4 linked regions of the Drosophila melanogaster genome follow. The protein of the gene in region 4 interacts with the protein of the main gene of each other region in a pairwise test. Each region holds a gene or a part of one and is shown on either strand. Other genes may lie near its edges.

Region 1 (4,789 bases), on a different chromosome or scaffold from region 4:
GAAACGCTTTCTTCTACCTACATGCTTTTCAAAGAACCTAGTAAAACCTTTTACTCTACGAGTAACTGGTATAAATAGTTCATAATGAACATTATGATATATATATTATATATTATATTATATTATATATATTATATTATATTATATTATATATATTATATTATATTATATTATATATATTATATTATATTATAAATATTATATTATATTATAAATATTATATTATATTATTTATATTATCTATTATATTACATTATATATATTATATTATATTATATATAATTTTTATTATTATATTATAAAATTATAAAAAAGCAAGCAGTAAATGCGGTTTTTGGGCGTGGCAAAAAGTTTTTTTTGCAAATCGATAGAAATTTACAAAACCAATAAAAATATGAAAAAATATCAACTCATTTTCTAAAAGTGTGGGCGTGGCAGTTTTGTGCGGTTTGTGCGTCTTTGTTTCTACAATCTATACGCTGAGTCTTAACCTTCTAGCTTTTACAGTTCCTGAGATCTCGACGTTCACACGGACAGACGGCCAAATCGACTCGGCTATTGATCCTGATCAAGAATATATATACTTTACATGATCGGAAACGCCTCATTCTGCCTATTACATATTCGTACCTATTACATACCGTTACTCGTAGAGCATATTACTCGTAGAGTAAGGGGTATAACAAAAGTGAATGCTAAAGTCGAATTCCCAGACTAACAGATACCCGTTACTCAGCTAGTGGGAATACGAACGCAAAGTTTCATAATTTTGTTGTCTTACGATACAGATCAGGAAATACTATATTAAAATGAAACATTTAAAACATACTTGGGCTGCGTCTATGTCTCTGTAATCTGCATGCTTAATATCAACTTCTAGCCTTTATAGTTCCCGAGATCGAGGAGTTCATTAGGAAGGACTCAAAACCTTTTACATACTTTTTAACAAATCGAGTGAATCTGGTAAAATCTCTATATACTTCACTGCGGCACAAAGTTCTGGCTTAAATCAATATACCCTATTATTATTCAAAAACCGCTTAAATTGATATATGTATAAAATATACAAACTATAAATAAGCAAGGTGATACAAAAGGCATTGACAGCCCCAATTATGTTCTGTATTCTTTAGTTATATTTTAAAGGGCACACCCATTCCATTTTTCTAGTTAGTAAAGCACTAAAAAGCCGAAACCGTAGAACTTTCCCTGTTTCTCGTTATGAACCCACATGGATTTGAATCTAATTGAGCACATCCTCATTACAGAAGCAGACGAAGTCAGATCTGAACGAGCAATTCAGGGTTGCCCTCCCCCGTTTAACCTCATTGGTGCTGATTTGATTTGATTATTGCAAACATTTTTCACACCTTACACTTCATTGCGAAACTGAAATTCCAAAGCCCGGCAATTTATATGCCAAACCAACGGTGGGTGACCAAATATTGACGCAAAGTTAAAAGCGTGACCTTTCGCAGATTCTATATCAGACGTCCACGATTATGACAGAATTATATTTTTTAATTGGCAAGAAAATCAATTGTATTCTCTAAGAGCCTTTTTCAAAAACATTAACATTTTAGAAGACGAAGTCATAAACATTCTTAAGCTCCGCCGACGTCACTGCAATCTGCATGCCCAATCTGCCCAATATCATTCGACTAAATTACACAGTAAAATTTACCTATAGGGCGCGCTTTTTTAAAAATTAATCAGAAATTGTTTCAGCTTCCCAAAATGTACAAAAAAAAAACAGTAAAAGATAAAAACAAATCAGGATAAAACACAATTAGCATAGACCAACTTAAAATTAAAATTAAGAATAGTAGCTTCAACAAACCGGAGCTTATATACCCTTTCCGTAATTTGATATTAAAGATAGAACAGCTTCATCCAGATTTCTGTTTAAAACCGAAATTATATACTGTCAAACACTGGTGTATACCGAAAAAGAAGATATATTAAATATTCTTTATCAGGAATATATATATTTTATATGGTCGCAAATGTCCACCTAAAATCAATATACTCTCTGACAGGGAATAAAAACAAAGAACAAAAGAAGTCAATGCGTATACGTGTAAATGTGTACACACATGAAATTCGGTTTAAGGAGGTAACACTGTAAGCCATGTATATAAATAGTAAAAAGTGTGACTGTTTGGTGTTTGCTTACAATACAATTATCTCAATCGGACTTACCTTTTAGTTGAATTCTGCACACAGTGGGCTCAAATGTGGGCGTCAACGCTAACGTTGCAAACAGCTGATTATATAGCGGAGACACATCCGAAATAATATTTAAAACACGCCATTTACACTTTCCGCACGAAATACGGAGCTTTGATGTGAAAAACAGAAACAACACATTAAAATCGAACAAGGTGGTAGCACAAACACAACAGCACGGAACACCAATACAACCGCTCCCGAAGGGCGACGAACGTCGTGCTGCAGTTGTTTGTGCTTTGAAAAAATCTACATTTGTTGTCGTCCTCGGTACTGGGATTTCACAATTATTAAAATGCTTCTTAGCAACTAAACTAGGGAACAACGAGATTGTTATATTCACACACACGCTTTTGTTGATGTAGTCGCTGGTTTTTTCACATCCCCTCTACCGAGAACAGTGAAAAGGGATGGTTCAAATGATAAATATCCCCAGCGCAACGATACAGATTTGTTTTCTGGTCTATAAATCGCATTTTGCAAATCTCGTTCGTTTGAAACAAAGCGACTGGGAAAATGTATGCCTCACTGCTTTGGCAACACTTTTTTTTACATTTTTTTTTAGTGAAAAGGCACTCACAAACGCACACCAGCACAAACATTGGAACAATCACGCACTCGAACGACGCTGCTTACCAAACGCGCCAGTAATATTATCAACTGCCTTTGCTTTCGTTTGTTTTCTTGCAAACTTAGCTTTCCTCGGATTTACTGGCGAAAAATGTAGTTTTGCACTTGATTAATTAGCAACAGAATACCACCGATGATGCGCCACCCACGTCCGAACCAGTGTGACCGCAGTGTACAGTAGGACTGTACCGTAACTATTTTAAAATACCAAGCAAGTATTTATCAGAATATACCACACCTACGAAAAAAAATTGCTTAATTATTTTTGTTTTTTGAGACTTCCTCTAAGCGCCTATTACACTAGCACTTAATTTTTTCTTAAGTAAGATAAATAAATGTCCATGTTTTGCCAATGGGTTCCAAAAATAGGGTTCTATGTCAAGGTGCAAAAAAACCGAACCTTAAATTAGGATTAAACAAACTAAATATTTCTAAAATTTAGTAATCTCATTCAAATTTAAAAATGTTACATATATCCTACACATTTGTACATGTGTAGTTCCAAAAAACTTAATGTACTTCCTTATGTTCACTGCCTCCACGTATTGCTGTACCAGAATCCTTGTGGCTTACTAATTAAAATCAGAACTAAAATTCAGTTGTGTTATAAGAGACGTCAAAAGAGTATGTTACTTTCGTGCTTAAAGAAAGTATGAAAAAATGATAATATAAACCGTATTATTACAACAAAAAAAAACCGGTAAGAGCTAAAAAAAAAGGGAGGATGACCTGACCTTGATAAGTTTCAAACTAGGCACGATTTATATACATCTATTATTATGTCCTAGGTCCTAGGAGACCTACATACGTGCTACCATAACCCTGTGGTAGTCAGCTCATATGTATGTTGAACAGGTATTTTAATTTTAAAGAATTATCTTTTGCTTAACAAGGTTTTCCGAACAGTTAAGGTGTACGAAGAGCACGGCAGCCGCCAGGCGTGCTTGCAACTCCTGTTGGCTTAAATCATGTGCCCACTCCACGCGACCCCAGAACTTAAGTTGGTATTCTTCCTCTAGACGCGCCAGGGCCACAGCCTTCTCCACGGTAAGCATCTGCTCGATGACGGCGCAGGCAAGGACAATCGACTTTAAGGTGTCCACAGCGAAAATGAAGCCTGGAGGAAAATATATTTAATAGACGTTGAACTCCAGACTTATGGTCTGCATTACCATGCAGAGTTTCCAAACTGTAGGACTGAAAATGCTTTGCGACATTCATTTTATCCTGCTCGCTGACCTGAGGCGGCGTTATGTTCATGGTCTTCTGCAGGTTTGTGTCGTAGCGCTGGTTGAACCAGGCGATCACCGGGTCCCATTCATTCACCTGAAGGTCCTGCAGGTCCTTTTCGTCCTGCAAAAGATATATGTCTGTGGAATGTGCACTCTAATTCTCAGTTGATTCACTCACATCGTACTGGAAGAGCACCGTGTCTGTGGCGATGAAGTTGAGAAGGTAGTTGACCATGTCCAACTTGGAGAGGTGATTGGGATTGTCAATGGCCGTGAAGCAGAGCGCGGATAAGTGCATGCGGGAACGCTCGATGTTTTCCTTCTGAGCGTCGAACTCAGTGGCTACAGCAATGGCCAGGGGTTCGCTGCGGACGATGAAGGGTGTGCCCTTGGGCGTTTTCAGTTTCCGGTGATCCAACACCACTTCATAGCCGCTGTCGCCGCTCAGTACGGAAGTCTTCTTGTAGAATCGCTTGGGAGGAGAGGCTGCAGGAGAAGAACCGCCGATCGCGGGATGTTATGAAATGGCAACACACGTTTTTATTCTGGCTATCGCGGCTTACCATAGTGGCGCACAGTGAAACTGCTAGCGGCTCCTTTGCACTGGCTGAAATTGGTCAACCGGAGAGCTCGGATGGCGCTAACTACATACTTTCCGTTCATTTTTAGAGTTTGTCTGCCTGTCTACTTGTCTTCAG
Region 2 (3,187 bases), 7.2 Mb from region 4:
CTTTTGCTCTTGACCCACACAGATCACCGACTTCTTGTTCAGCCCCATGGTCCTAATGATGGTCTTGCCTCTGCTCCTTATGCTGGTGCTGCCCAAGATGATCAACGATCCCGAGACAAAGAAGGAGATCGACAATCTGCAGTTCCCAAAGGTAAGCCGTGAGGATCATGTATAGCACAGCACTATAGTATTATATGAATCATGCTCTGCTCCACAGATGGGCAACGATATGCCCGAGATCAGCGAAATGCTGACTTCACTGCTAACGGGCAAGCAGCCCGAGCCCAAGGAGAAGAAGCCTGCTCCGGCCGTCAGGCAGGCGAAGAAGCGCAAGGACCAGTAGTAGTTGGCCACCAGATAGCTTTTAGTATTAAGCTTAATCGGAGCGCCGAGCTCCAAGTCAGAGTCAGATCGTTTAAATAGTAAATTTTCATTACAAGACTTTGCCGCTTTATTTAAGAAATCCTACTATTTGCGGTCGCTTGAGTCCGACGCGCTGCTGCTCCAGATTTAGCATTTTAGTGAGCAGCCGGTCCAGATGCTCGCCAATGGCCAGACCCAGCTCCAGACAGTTGCGCATGGTGTCCCGGTGCATGGCTCCGCCGCCGGTCAAGTGTGTACCCGAAAGGAATGCCTGTCCATTCCGCATGGAAACTGACACAACCATGCTCACTGTGCTGCAGACTTCCTCCTCCGCCGAAGGATCCACCAGGACATAATCACCGATCTTGCAAACTGTGACCAACAGCGGAACCGTCTCGATGCCGATGCGGGTGCAGTCATACGGATTGTCCGATATGATGAGGTCTGTGATGCCGGCATCCAACATGGTGGCTGTCACCCGGGGCAGCTTTGTGTTGAACAGAGCCGCTTTGGCGGCCAGCGACACTGCGTCGTGTAGATTGCCGCCACACTCCAGAATCTGCGAGAACAGGGATTAGCATTTTCGGTATAATTAAGCACACTAGAGTCTAACCAGGATGTCTATGTACAGCTTCCAGCACTGCTGACCCGGAATGAGGCACAACGTGCGGTAGTTGAAGGCCAATGGCGATTCGTAGGCGTTCTGCAGGGAGAGAATAAGTTCTTGGGCCAGATCCGAGCCCCCGCGTCCTTCAAACTCCGGCGTGGCATTAGCAGAGCTGAAATATATATGTTATGGCATATTCTTCGAACTTCAGTTGCATCATTACCAATCCACAAAAAATTCCAGTTTACCAAACTCGGGCGTCAGCGGGTTGGGTACATCAATCTCGGTTTTGACGCCCACCAGTATGTCTGTGTTCGCCAGCCGAAGGCGAGCGGATCCACTGGCATTGCTAACCAGTCCAGTTTCCAGGTCCATGGGCCGGTAATCTCGTCGTGAACGTCCATCGCAACGAAAGTCATCCTGGAAACGCATAGTTTAAGGTACAGACTATATTTCTTGCATAACCGTTTAACACACCTCCACGCCGTGTAGAATATATGTTTTTTCAGCTTCGCTCAGTGCAACGTATGCCATTTTAGACTTAATTCAAGAAAACAAATATTCAAAACAAATTCAACATGTGCAATGAACCCACATCGATACTATCGATATACCGCAAAGCAGGGCTGCTGGCACTTCGTTTTTACTTTACTGAACTGTTGTCAGTGCGAAAGGTGTATGTTTTCATTTGAAGCATTTCATTTCACATCGCCATCTGGTAACACTTATCCAAAACAAGCCAGTCATTTCGTGTTCGTGCGGCGTTTCAACAAATATCAATTGTAAATTGAATTGTAACAAATTTAAAGATCAATATGCAGCCCGACTTTGATTTCACCGACACACCGGTCAGCACTGGTGTAAGTATGAAGAGCATCAGCCACATAACTTCGTACTAAGAGCACAATCCTACCTATTTGCAGACCACCATTATGGCAGTGGAGTTCGATGGCGGAGTGGTCATTGGAGCCGATTCGCGCACCAGCTCGGGCGCCTATGTTGCCAATCGGGTCACCGACAAGCTGACCCGCATCACGGACAAAGTGTACTGCTGCCGCAGTGGCTCGGCCGCCGACACCCAGGCCATTGCCGACATTGTGGCCTACTCGCTGAACTATCACGAGAATCAGACCAACAAGGATGCTCTGGTGTTCGAGGCCGCCTCAGAGTTCCGTAATTACTGCTACAGCTACCGCGAGTCCCTGCTTGCCGGCATCATTGTGGCTGGGTGGGATGAGCAGCGCGGCGGCCAGGTGTACAGCATCCCGTTGGGCGGCATGCTGACCCGCGAGTCCTGCACCATCGGCGGATCGGGATCTAGTTTTATCTACGGATTTGTTAGGGAGCACTACCGCCCCAATATGGCGCTGGAGGATTGCGTTACATTCGTCAAGAAGGGTAGGTAATCCCAAAAAAACCAAAACAGTTTCCCTTCAATCGAATCCCATTTAAACCTCCTCCAACAGCTGTCCAGCACGCTATCTACCACGATGGCAGCTCCGGTGGTGTGGTGCGCATTGGCATCATCACCAAGGATGGCATCGAGCGACGCATCTTCTACAACACAGAATCGGGCGCATCGGCTGTTTCCAGCACTCCCAGCTTCATTTCCTCGGAATAAATAGTATACCTACCCAAGTAAGATCGATCAGAGAAAGAGTTGCAAACTCGTCTCATGCTAATAAACCTGGTTTTTGTAATATGCATACTTTAATTTGTATTTTGGCTCTTATGGCAGTACAAAAGTTAGGTCTAGGGGCTAAAATGGTAATAAATAATCGAAAACCTAAACCTAAGATGCATAGTCATACAGATAGTGCTGTTCCTGACACTGGTCCTTCCTCACAACTCAGATAACTACTGCGGCGAGAGTGGAATGTTCCCTACGGGGAAGTCATTTCATCGCCTATCACATGACAGTCAATACCGATATCCTTCGCTTAAACTCTTATCCAGTCAGGTAGTGACCAGAGATTTAGGAGTTGAGTTTGGCCACTTCAGCTGCGTCTATAGACTGCGTCTCCATGGACTTGTTGGTGGCACATCGCTGCCTGCGGTGGCGGTACAATATCTCCGGTGTCCAAACAAGAACCACCACCAGCAGAATGACTCCTTGAGCATAAAGGCAGATTAGGTAGGAGTCGGCGTAGTCTCGCACCCATCCCAGCAGCTGGCCCACTGTGATAACAATAACGCCCTTGGACATCATGCTCAGAC
Region 3 (4,843 bases), 830 kb from region 4:
TACTCAAAACAATAACGTTTCGTAGGGTGTAGTGCATTCAAAACCGGTTAAACAATATATTTTTCTTTTTTTTACAATGTATATATGCTAAGCAAAAGAAAAACCAAAAACCAAAAAACAGCACCACAGAGACAGAACAAGAAACAATTTAAAGTCTAAACAACAAATAAAATTCTTTTCAAAATAGCAAAACCAAGCAACGGTCGTTCATCATCGTCATATCGACCAACCACCTCGGGCTCGGGATCACATTCATCTGCTCACTACGAAACTGGATCCCGATCTCGTGAAAGCGTGCGATATCGCTCGGCTCCATATCCGAAAATACGTTAACCCATCGATTTTCCAAAACCCCAAGAAACCAACCTCAACAACAACTACAACAACAACAACAACCACAACTAAACAATGTTAAGCGTAAAGATTAAAATATATTCCAACGAAATATCAAAATGTTTGAAGTCAACAATCCAACTATTCACACCTATTAAATATAATATATAAACGAAAATCAAATAAAAAACGTAAATTTTTATTGCAACTGTTGTCCGATATTCAAATTGTGTTTAAAATTAAAACAAGAAACCAATAATGCAACAAATTTTATCCTCAAAAAGATTGTAAAAACAAAAGACATACTTCAATCAACCTAATACTAGTTAAAGCCAATACGAGAAGAGAACTAAACACAAGCGAAAACCCCCCCAAAACAATTAATTTATCAAAGCATAATTTTAGACTAAGCTTGAAAATATTGTTTCATAAGATAATGGAGATAAAACCAACATAAAAAGCAAAATATAAACTACAAATGTATGTGCCCAACGACAAAGTAAGTATCGCCTGCGGACAGAGTATGATTAACAAACAACAAACCACACTATTCAGCAGTTAAATAAATTAACCAAATGCCGGCTTCGTTACAAATTCCGAATAGCAAAGAGTATTGTGAAACGTTAAACGTTGTCGTTTATAATTATGATTTCTTTTTTGTTTTTTTTTCTTTGCGAATCAACAATTGTTTTATAACTTAAATATTATTTTTAACATAAAACCATAAGGACGTTTAGAACTGAATTTGTTTGCCGCTGAATATCCCTAAATAAAGTATAAAAGTATAATCGACAAATCCAGTTTCATTTGTGGGGGTGTTCAAAAGTTCATGGCTCCATCAAGGAATAGCAAACTGTCCACAGCAGAAATGGCCATATCCACGTCCCTCTTTTGTATGGTTTTCTTTTTGGACTGCGCCGTGTAGGTATATGATTCCCGTGACAACGAGGCTATGAATAGTTCCACTGCCTTCGCCACTATGAACACGGCCTCATTGTTGGCCATATGCAGATCCGGATCTAGTTTCATTATGTTCCGTATCCTGGCCAACGGCAGTTGTGTCATCTTGGCTTCGTTATCAGCAGGGGCCTTGTTGCCATTCGTCACTGGAAGGAAAGGAGCCATATAGGAGAAATTCTATCTAAGTGCATCTAACTTACCTGGTTTTTCTGTCAATTGTTCTGTTGTAGATTCTGCCTCAGGATTATCCGGCGATTCCTCGGTGATTTCCAAAGGCTCTTCTGTTTCCGCTAGCTCCGCCTCCTCAGTCTCCATGGCCTGCTGATGCTCCAAGTCCTGTTCTTCCGAGAATTCAGCCTCAAATAGTTCCTCGCTGGCCATTGCGCACTATAAAAATTGAAAACAAACCAAGCGAATGCAATCCAAATACCATATTTTTAGAGATGAGTATCAAGGCAGCCGCCAAAAATATCGATATTGCACCATGTATGAAATCGAAATGGTGGCAGCTCCGCTATCTTCTCGGCGAAGCTCCTTACTAACAGATTTAACTTTTTAAAATAATCTATAGTAATTGTACTACTTCTGTGTTTCAAACACGACATTTTGTACACAGTGGAAAAAATCGACATTTAAACAATCACTATTGAATTAAAAAAGTTGGCAGCCCGAAAACTTCACACGCTTGGCAGCTCTGCCATTATTTTAGTTCATTGGTGTACATACTGTTTTTCAGTCTACACCATTTTTAATTGTAATTTTCTGTAAAGATTGTTATGATAAAAATGGAAACCCCAAGCGAGTTTACTGAGAAACAGCCACCCACCCACGATCACCAGCCGCGTCTTAACGAGGTGGCCCAAAAGTTTCTCGCCGATTTGGACGAGGAGCGCCAGCGATTGTCCGCGGACTTTCCACTTTGCGCACTGCTAATCGACGAGGGTAAAATCAATTTGGCCCTTTTACAGGGTATTTTAATGGTACTAATCCCAATATTGCAGCTGTGGACCGTGTCTACTGCACTGGTCGTATTCCCGGAAAAGAGTTCTACGCAGACGTGTACAAGCAGAAGCCGATGAAGATTACCCAAAAGGTCTTCGTGCCCGTAAAGCAGTATCCCAAGGTGGGTTTATACAATTAGCTGTCCTCTCCGTTCGAAAAATAAATCCGTACCCTTGCGCAGTTCAACTTCACTGGCAAGATCCTGGGGCCCAAGGGCAATTCGCTGCGTCGCCTTCAGGAGGAGACCCAGTGCAAGATTGCCATTAAGGGTCGCAGTTCGATCCGCGATCGTAACAAAGAAGAGCAGCTGCGCAGCACAGGCGACCCGAGATATGCTCATCTTCAGAAGGACCTATTTTTGGAGGTCAGCACGGTGGCCACTCCGGCGGAGTGCTATGCCCGCATAGCCTACGCTCTGGCCGAGATCCGTAAGTATCTTATTCCAGACAAGAACGACGAGGTTTCACACGAACAGCTGCGCGAGCTGATGGAAATGGATCCCGAGTCAGCCAAAAACATTCACGGACCGAATCTGGAGGCCTACAGGTAATCTTACACCCTATGCAGCCTTTGGGCATGAGAATAAAAATATATTATTTTGCAGATCTGTCTTCGACAAGAAGTTTGGAGGCAACAGCAATGGGGCTCCCAAATACATCAACCTGATTAAGAGAGCTGCGGAAAATCCGCCCGAGTAAGTTACTTGTAAAGTATAATTTTGTATTATTTAATGACCCCACCAGGAGTAATGGAACCGAGAGTCCTCGCGTCATAGTAGTGCCTTAAATCCTAGCCAACATCTGTTAACCCAGCAATTAACATTTTCATTTTTATAGAGTCGACGATGTGGAGGAGGTGGCCTATGAGTATGAACATCGTATGCCCCCCAAGCGTCCGCCTACGGGCTATGAGTACAGCAAACGTAAGTTAATCCCAAGCATGCATTCTTTATTTGGGTAGTGCCGGGGTCTATGACATAAGATCGATTTTTCCCCTGAATGCACCAGTTTTTTGGGATGCACCTTTGACAGGAACTTTGGGTTATAGATTAGATTAGATCATACTATCAAAACCAATAACTGTGATTGAGCAAGCTCTCAGATCAAACTATATAATACACTGGAATGATTAATATTATGCAACGATTCACTCCTTTATAGTAATTACATACACGCATAAAATACTACAAATAATAATCAACCAATTTTATAGCACGTCCATCAATAATACCGACAAACGCAGCGGCATATAAACGTCCATATCCGACTGACATGAAACGTATGCGCGAACCGCCCATCAAGTCCTATAAGCCCAATCCGTATACAATACTTAAAAAATATAAATAATAGAGCTCCGGTTGATTTCGTCGCACACCGCTATAAATGAAAACAAAGGACAATGCTTACGTTATAAAATCCATGCTGGGAGCACATTGAAAATACTTTAATCAAGAAGAAAGCAGCATTCAAAATGATGCTATCAATTAATAAACATTAATATTTATAAAACGCGCACTTGCGCTATCAATTCCCACAAACAATATTAATCTTAAATTTGTATATCCATAAATATGTTAAACTGTTGGCATGCCTTTTCTGGACCATTTCAACAGATAATAAGTCAAATAATTCCTATTATGTTTAAATTATGATTTCCCGAGTTCGTAATTTTCTATGAATGTAATAAAATGATACGCATTGAATGAATTTAATAAATTCTCTGCAATCAGATCTAACTATCCTATTCTTTTAAATGACTCGACCCCTCATTTACCATGAATATATGCATTACGTAATTAAACAATTGTCTCACTAGCAGTAGAATCAAGAGGTTTATATCTAATGAAATAAAACCGTGCGAACTTATCACATTGTTTAATCAAAAAAAAAAAAAAAAAAAAAAAAAACGAAATGAAGATCACATCAAGACCTTAAAGTGCGTCTAAAAATAAGTTAATAAACTATTATAAATTTATAAATGAAAAAGAAAAAACATTGAATAAACATATAAAGAGTTTGCATAACTAAAATATTTCAGGTTTTTTCAAAGTATTATTTTATTTTAAATCTGATGGGTAAGTAGCTTAAGTTTAACTGTTAATGTCTAAAGTAAGGCTATAAAGTTAATAAAGGCTTAAAACAAATGTCTGTCTATCTTTGGATATATTTTCTATCAGGGATATGGTTTTCTTTTGTGTTGTTCAACTAACATTGATATTGCAAGGGCCTCCCAGTGAAGCTGGCTATCCAGAACTTCTTCCTTATCTCATATTCATTGGCTTCTGTGGAGCGTGTATGTTCCTGGGCTTGTAATCTTAGCAGGATTCTCTGATAGACCTCATACGCAGTTTGGGGCTGTCCACAACGACTGTTGCCGCACTGCTCAGAGAACTGTGGCTCCTCGACGTAAGTATCCTCGATCGAAAAAGGATTCTCGCTGTGCGGTATCATCTGAATGATATGGATGTCTCAGGCCTGATTCTTGACACAACTGATAGGCGAGCACTCACCTTGGCTTTTTTCACTGACGCTGATTTACTCCGCTGACT
Region 4 (3,515 bases):
CGCACCAAGAACTTCTCGCTGATCATCCACTCCGGTGTGCACTTCTCCAAGCGCTACTTCAAGTATCTGACCAAACGGTATTTGAAGAAGGTCAGCCTGCGTGATTGGTTGCGGGTAGTGTCCACGGCCAAGGACACCTTCGCCATGACCTACTTTAAGATTCAGGACAAGGACTTTGATGACGACGACGACGACGTTGCCGACGACAATGGCGGAAAAACCTTTGCCTAAAACAAAGATCGCATTTCGAAAACATGTATATCCCATGAAAGCTGTTCAAGTGTGTAGACTTCTTAAATTTCTCAGTATACTTCTGTTAAATTTCCCACTTGAAGTTTCACTAGTTCTCAATGTGGCTCATACAATTTTTGCTCATTTGCTTCAACATATTCAACGATGAAATATCAATAAAAAAAAAAAAAACCCTAACAAGAGTATATCATATATGTATGTATTCTCATCCGAAGCTGCAGAGTTCCCTTGAAGAACTTAAAGATTTCATTTTACGGTCAGTTAGGAGGAAGGAGCGGAGCGTTCCTCGGTCGAATCGACTTAAACTTGAACGATTGACATCTCGGAGAGGGCCTCGAGTGGCATTCGTCATGTTTTGATTGGGAGGAGCCAGTCTTGTTTTCCTTACCTTTTTACGCTTTTGTAAATACCTTAAATTGCCCCATTGGACGGGATTGTGTTCGATGCCAGGCGGCTTAATTGCTTCGCTGTGGGTCTGCCAAATGGACGAAACCATGGGTGGGGATCAGAGGGTGCTCCTCTGTCAGCAGTTGGCCCGGCCTGGCCGTAGGTGGTCCATAACGAGCTAATGAAATGCGAATCCAGCCAAAATGCGAACAGCGAGGCAGCCCAGTGGAGTGAGTCAGGCAGGCAGCTGTCAAAATCGAAATCAACCTGAGCACTCGCAGGTTGGCTTCTTTTCGACTTGGCCAAAAGAACACAAAGGCTGGGCAAAATATTCACGATTGCCGCCTGGAAGGGAATACAAAGCGAAAATAAACATAAACGTCATGCAAATCGTATGGTAATTGCTGTCATCGCCGACTCTTGTCAAAACGGGTTGAAGTGTTTTGTAAATGCCAGAAAAAATTAAATTCCAGACATGCAGACGAGTACCAATAATAATAATAATAATGTAATAAGGGGCTTGCGATGGGGGGGAAGTCAAGAGTGATCCACACGCGATTATTATTTTGTCAAATGGGAAAACGATATCGGGCCAAAGCAGAGAGAGAACAGCCTCTGTCAAAAGCCAATTGGCCATTGGTAATTGGAATAGGCCTGACATCCAATGGTGATTAAAGTTAATTGAACTAACACCCATAGTTGATAGATGATGGCGTTCTTTGTCAAACCGAATATACCAACGTAAAAAATACTTTAGCATGTGTTAATTAGCATTAACGCTATTTTATTTAATTAATAGTGCACATTTGTATGATGTATTTCACTCCCTTGAAGAGCCACTTTTTGCAGCAAATAGAGCTGGCATTAAAACAAGTATTAATTTTGAACCCTGTGTCAGGGCCTTATTAATTTGAAAGCAAATCCCTTGTGACATGGAATATGAACCGTGCAATCAAGTTGGCTTTTAATTGTGCGTCAAACATTCAGATCCAGAATCTTGGTAATAGGCTCAAATCCACTCCGATTCTAGGTAGGTTGATCCCTGTTCCTGCTTAGGCTAATTAACACATCGATTACATCGTTGCGCGGACAGTGTGTGTCTTTAAATTGATAGGCTCGTTAAAGTGTCTACCATTCCGAGGCCTTCTGGTCTTGACTTCGCCAACTGGTTGGATCTATTTTTAGGGCCAGCAGGTGCAGCTGCCTCGGAAACTGCGCAGAGACGCGTTTCTCGGCCAGTGCCAACCAGTTGGCGAGACCCCATCATCATCATCGCCATCGCCATCTGAAGATCGCCATCCAGCGTAGGTGACGGACAGCCTCGGGCTGCCAATATCACTTACTTTCAGACAATGGATAGCCACACAGGCGTTGACGATTTGTTGGCCTTAATCTACTTGAGCAAATATTAGTTTTGAAAGGTCTTTGTACCCAGCTCAAGTTTATTTTCTACTTCCCAAGCCCTTTTAAAGTTTTAAAGAATCTTTGCAGCTCATTTAACTGGCACTTTTCTGCTCGAACGCTTTTGGGAGTCTATTTGAAAATGATGGAAGGTGAAAGGTGAGTTTGTGACTGAAATCATATATACTTTTACTTACTAGCTATTGATTCCCACAGTTCCAAGTCGATTCAAGGCAACATCGTGGGTCTTAAGAGTACCAACGCCGTGATACTGGCCACCGACTCGAAGGAATACGAAATGTATCTAATAGATGACCGCATTTAGTAAGTCTATTCAATTTGCAATGCCTTAAAATAACTTATTAATTATTCAGCTGCTGCGCACCTCGTTCCGGCATCGATCGGAACATAGTTCTGGAAGTGAGTTCAAAGGTGGCAAATCTAGTCCGGGATCGCGGCCAGAATGTGACCGTGTCCCAGGTGCGGGACATGTTTTGCGAAAAGTACCAGACCGCCGAATCCCCAAATGTCATGATAGCTGGCCAGGACAGCAGGGGCCTTCACTTATTCAGCATGGAGTGTGGAAAGTCACGCATGGTGATGTATGGTGCAAAGGGCAGAGATAAGGAGAACATTGTGGACTTTCTCTCGAAAGACTGGAATGATTTCATAAACCTCAGCGAGGCTGAACAGTTGGCCAGGAAAGCGCTTAGGTGGGAGCACGTGGAAATGTGCACCATCTATAGGGCTAAAGAAATCGAGGAACAAGGTGCCAACATGGACTTCGATATGGACGACGAGACCTCTGTATCGCCGGCCAGCAATTTCTAGATCCTCCTACTATCTACATGTACATAGTAGTTAATTGTATCATTTCGATTTATGTTCATATAAATGAATGGTGGCTGCTCCACTGCCCCCCCCCCCCCTGTAATTAGCCACATTTCTCAGCGTTTTGCAAGTTGGCCTAAAATAGATTAGCCGCTCCTCCCACTGGAAATGGTGCAGCGCCAGCACAAGTGATTTATACTCCTCCGACCTGGCCCTTGGATAATTAATAATGATTAAAAGCTGGCGCCCATCAGCGGGCTGGCAGCTCAGAGTCCTTGTACCCGCTATGGGTATGGATATATAGCTCTATATAGATCCCCACTAACCAGATCCGCTCGTCTGCCTCCGGGGATCTGGGGACTGAGGCGATGTCCAGCTGTGCGGATTAACTTGAATTTATATGTTGTGGCTGCATTTGAATAATTTCATATTCGAGCTGGCAATCGGGATCTCTATCTTTCTCCTCCTCGCCACGCCCCCTTCCTTTGCGTCCATCTCCCCTGTGCGTGACCAGGCTCCATTTTCCCCTACTCCTGCGTCCACTTGTGTGGTCTTCCTCCATTGACAGCTCTTGGGTGGCATTATGCTGTCTGCTCCGGATTTTCACTTTTATGGCCTGCAAACCGGCAGTTGCTAATTGATTT

What was found.
Region 1: the proteins of yip3 (region 4) and CG8671 interact in a two-hybrid assay, tested with the Drosophila melanogaster proteins (one large-scale study listed by BioGRID).
Region 2: the proteins of yip3 (region 4) and Prosbeta1 interact in a two-hybrid assay, tested with the Drosophila melanogaster proteins (one large-scale study listed by BioGRID).
Region 3: the proteins of yip3 (region 4) and qkr58E-3 interact in a two-hybrid assay, tested with the Drosophila melanogaster proteins (one large-scale study listed by BioGRID).

What each region holds. Positions count from the first base shown.
Region 1 is NT_033779.5:21,261,200-21,265,988, reverse strand, and holds the start of CG8671 (uncharacterized protein), read right to left. Parts: upstream 3,034-4,789; 5' UTR 2,866-3,033; exon of another isoform or gene 2,810-2,865; intron 2,342-2,809; 5' UTR 2,203-2,341; intron 2,057-2,202; exon of another isoform or gene 1,955-2,056; intron 1-1,954. Other genes in the region: l(2)k14505 (lethal (2) k14505), read right to left, coding at 3,726-3,976, 4,032-4,212, 4,270-4,577, 4,655-4,754.
Region 2 is NT_033778.4:16,013,295-16,016,481, reverse strand, and holds Prosbeta1 (proteasome beta1 subunit), read left to right. Parts: upstream 1-1,694; 5' UTR 1,695-1,785; coding exon 1,786-1,830; intron 1,831-1,893; coding exon 1,894-2,368; intron 2,369-2,436; coding exon 2,437-2,591; 3' UTR 2,592-2,677; downstream 2,678-3,187. Other genes in the region: EMC7 (ER membrane protein complex subunit 7), read left to right, coding at 23-151, 218-343; Rrp42, read right to left, coding at 452-922, 977-1,142, 1,194-1,390, 1,448-1,504; CG8389 (uncharacterized protein), read right to left, coding at 2,946-3,187.
Region 3 is NT_033778.4:22,408,685-22,413,527, reverse strand, and holds qkr58E-3 (quaking related 58E-3), read left to right. Parts: upstream 1-1,982; 5' UTR 1,983-2,078; coding exon 2,079-2,235; intron 2,236-2,294; coding exon 2,295-2,416; intron 2,417-2,476; coding exon 2,477-2,841; intron 2,842-2,899; coding exon 2,900-2,989; intron 2,990-3,131; coding exon 3,132-3,217; intron 3,218-3,507; coding exon 3,508-3,641; 3' UTR 3,642-4,320; downstream 4,321-4,843. Other genes in the region: qkr58E-1 (quaking related 58E-1), read left to right, coding at 188-333; PolE4 (DNA polymerase epsilon subunit 4), read right to left, coding at 1,153-1,439, 1,494-1,674; VepD (Ventrally-expressed protein D), read right to left, coding at 4,500-4,745.
Region 4 is NT_033778.4:23,243,501-23,247,015, reverse strand, and holds yip3 (yippee interacting protein 3), read left to right. Parts: upstream 1-1,616; 5' UTR 1,617-2,182; coding exon 2,183-2,199; intron 2,200-2,256; coding exon 2,257-2,364; intron 2,365-2,414; coding exon 2,415-2,871; 3' UTR 2,872-2,972; downstream 2,973-3,515. Other genes in the region: RpL22-like (ribosomal protein L22-like), read left to right, coding at 1-231.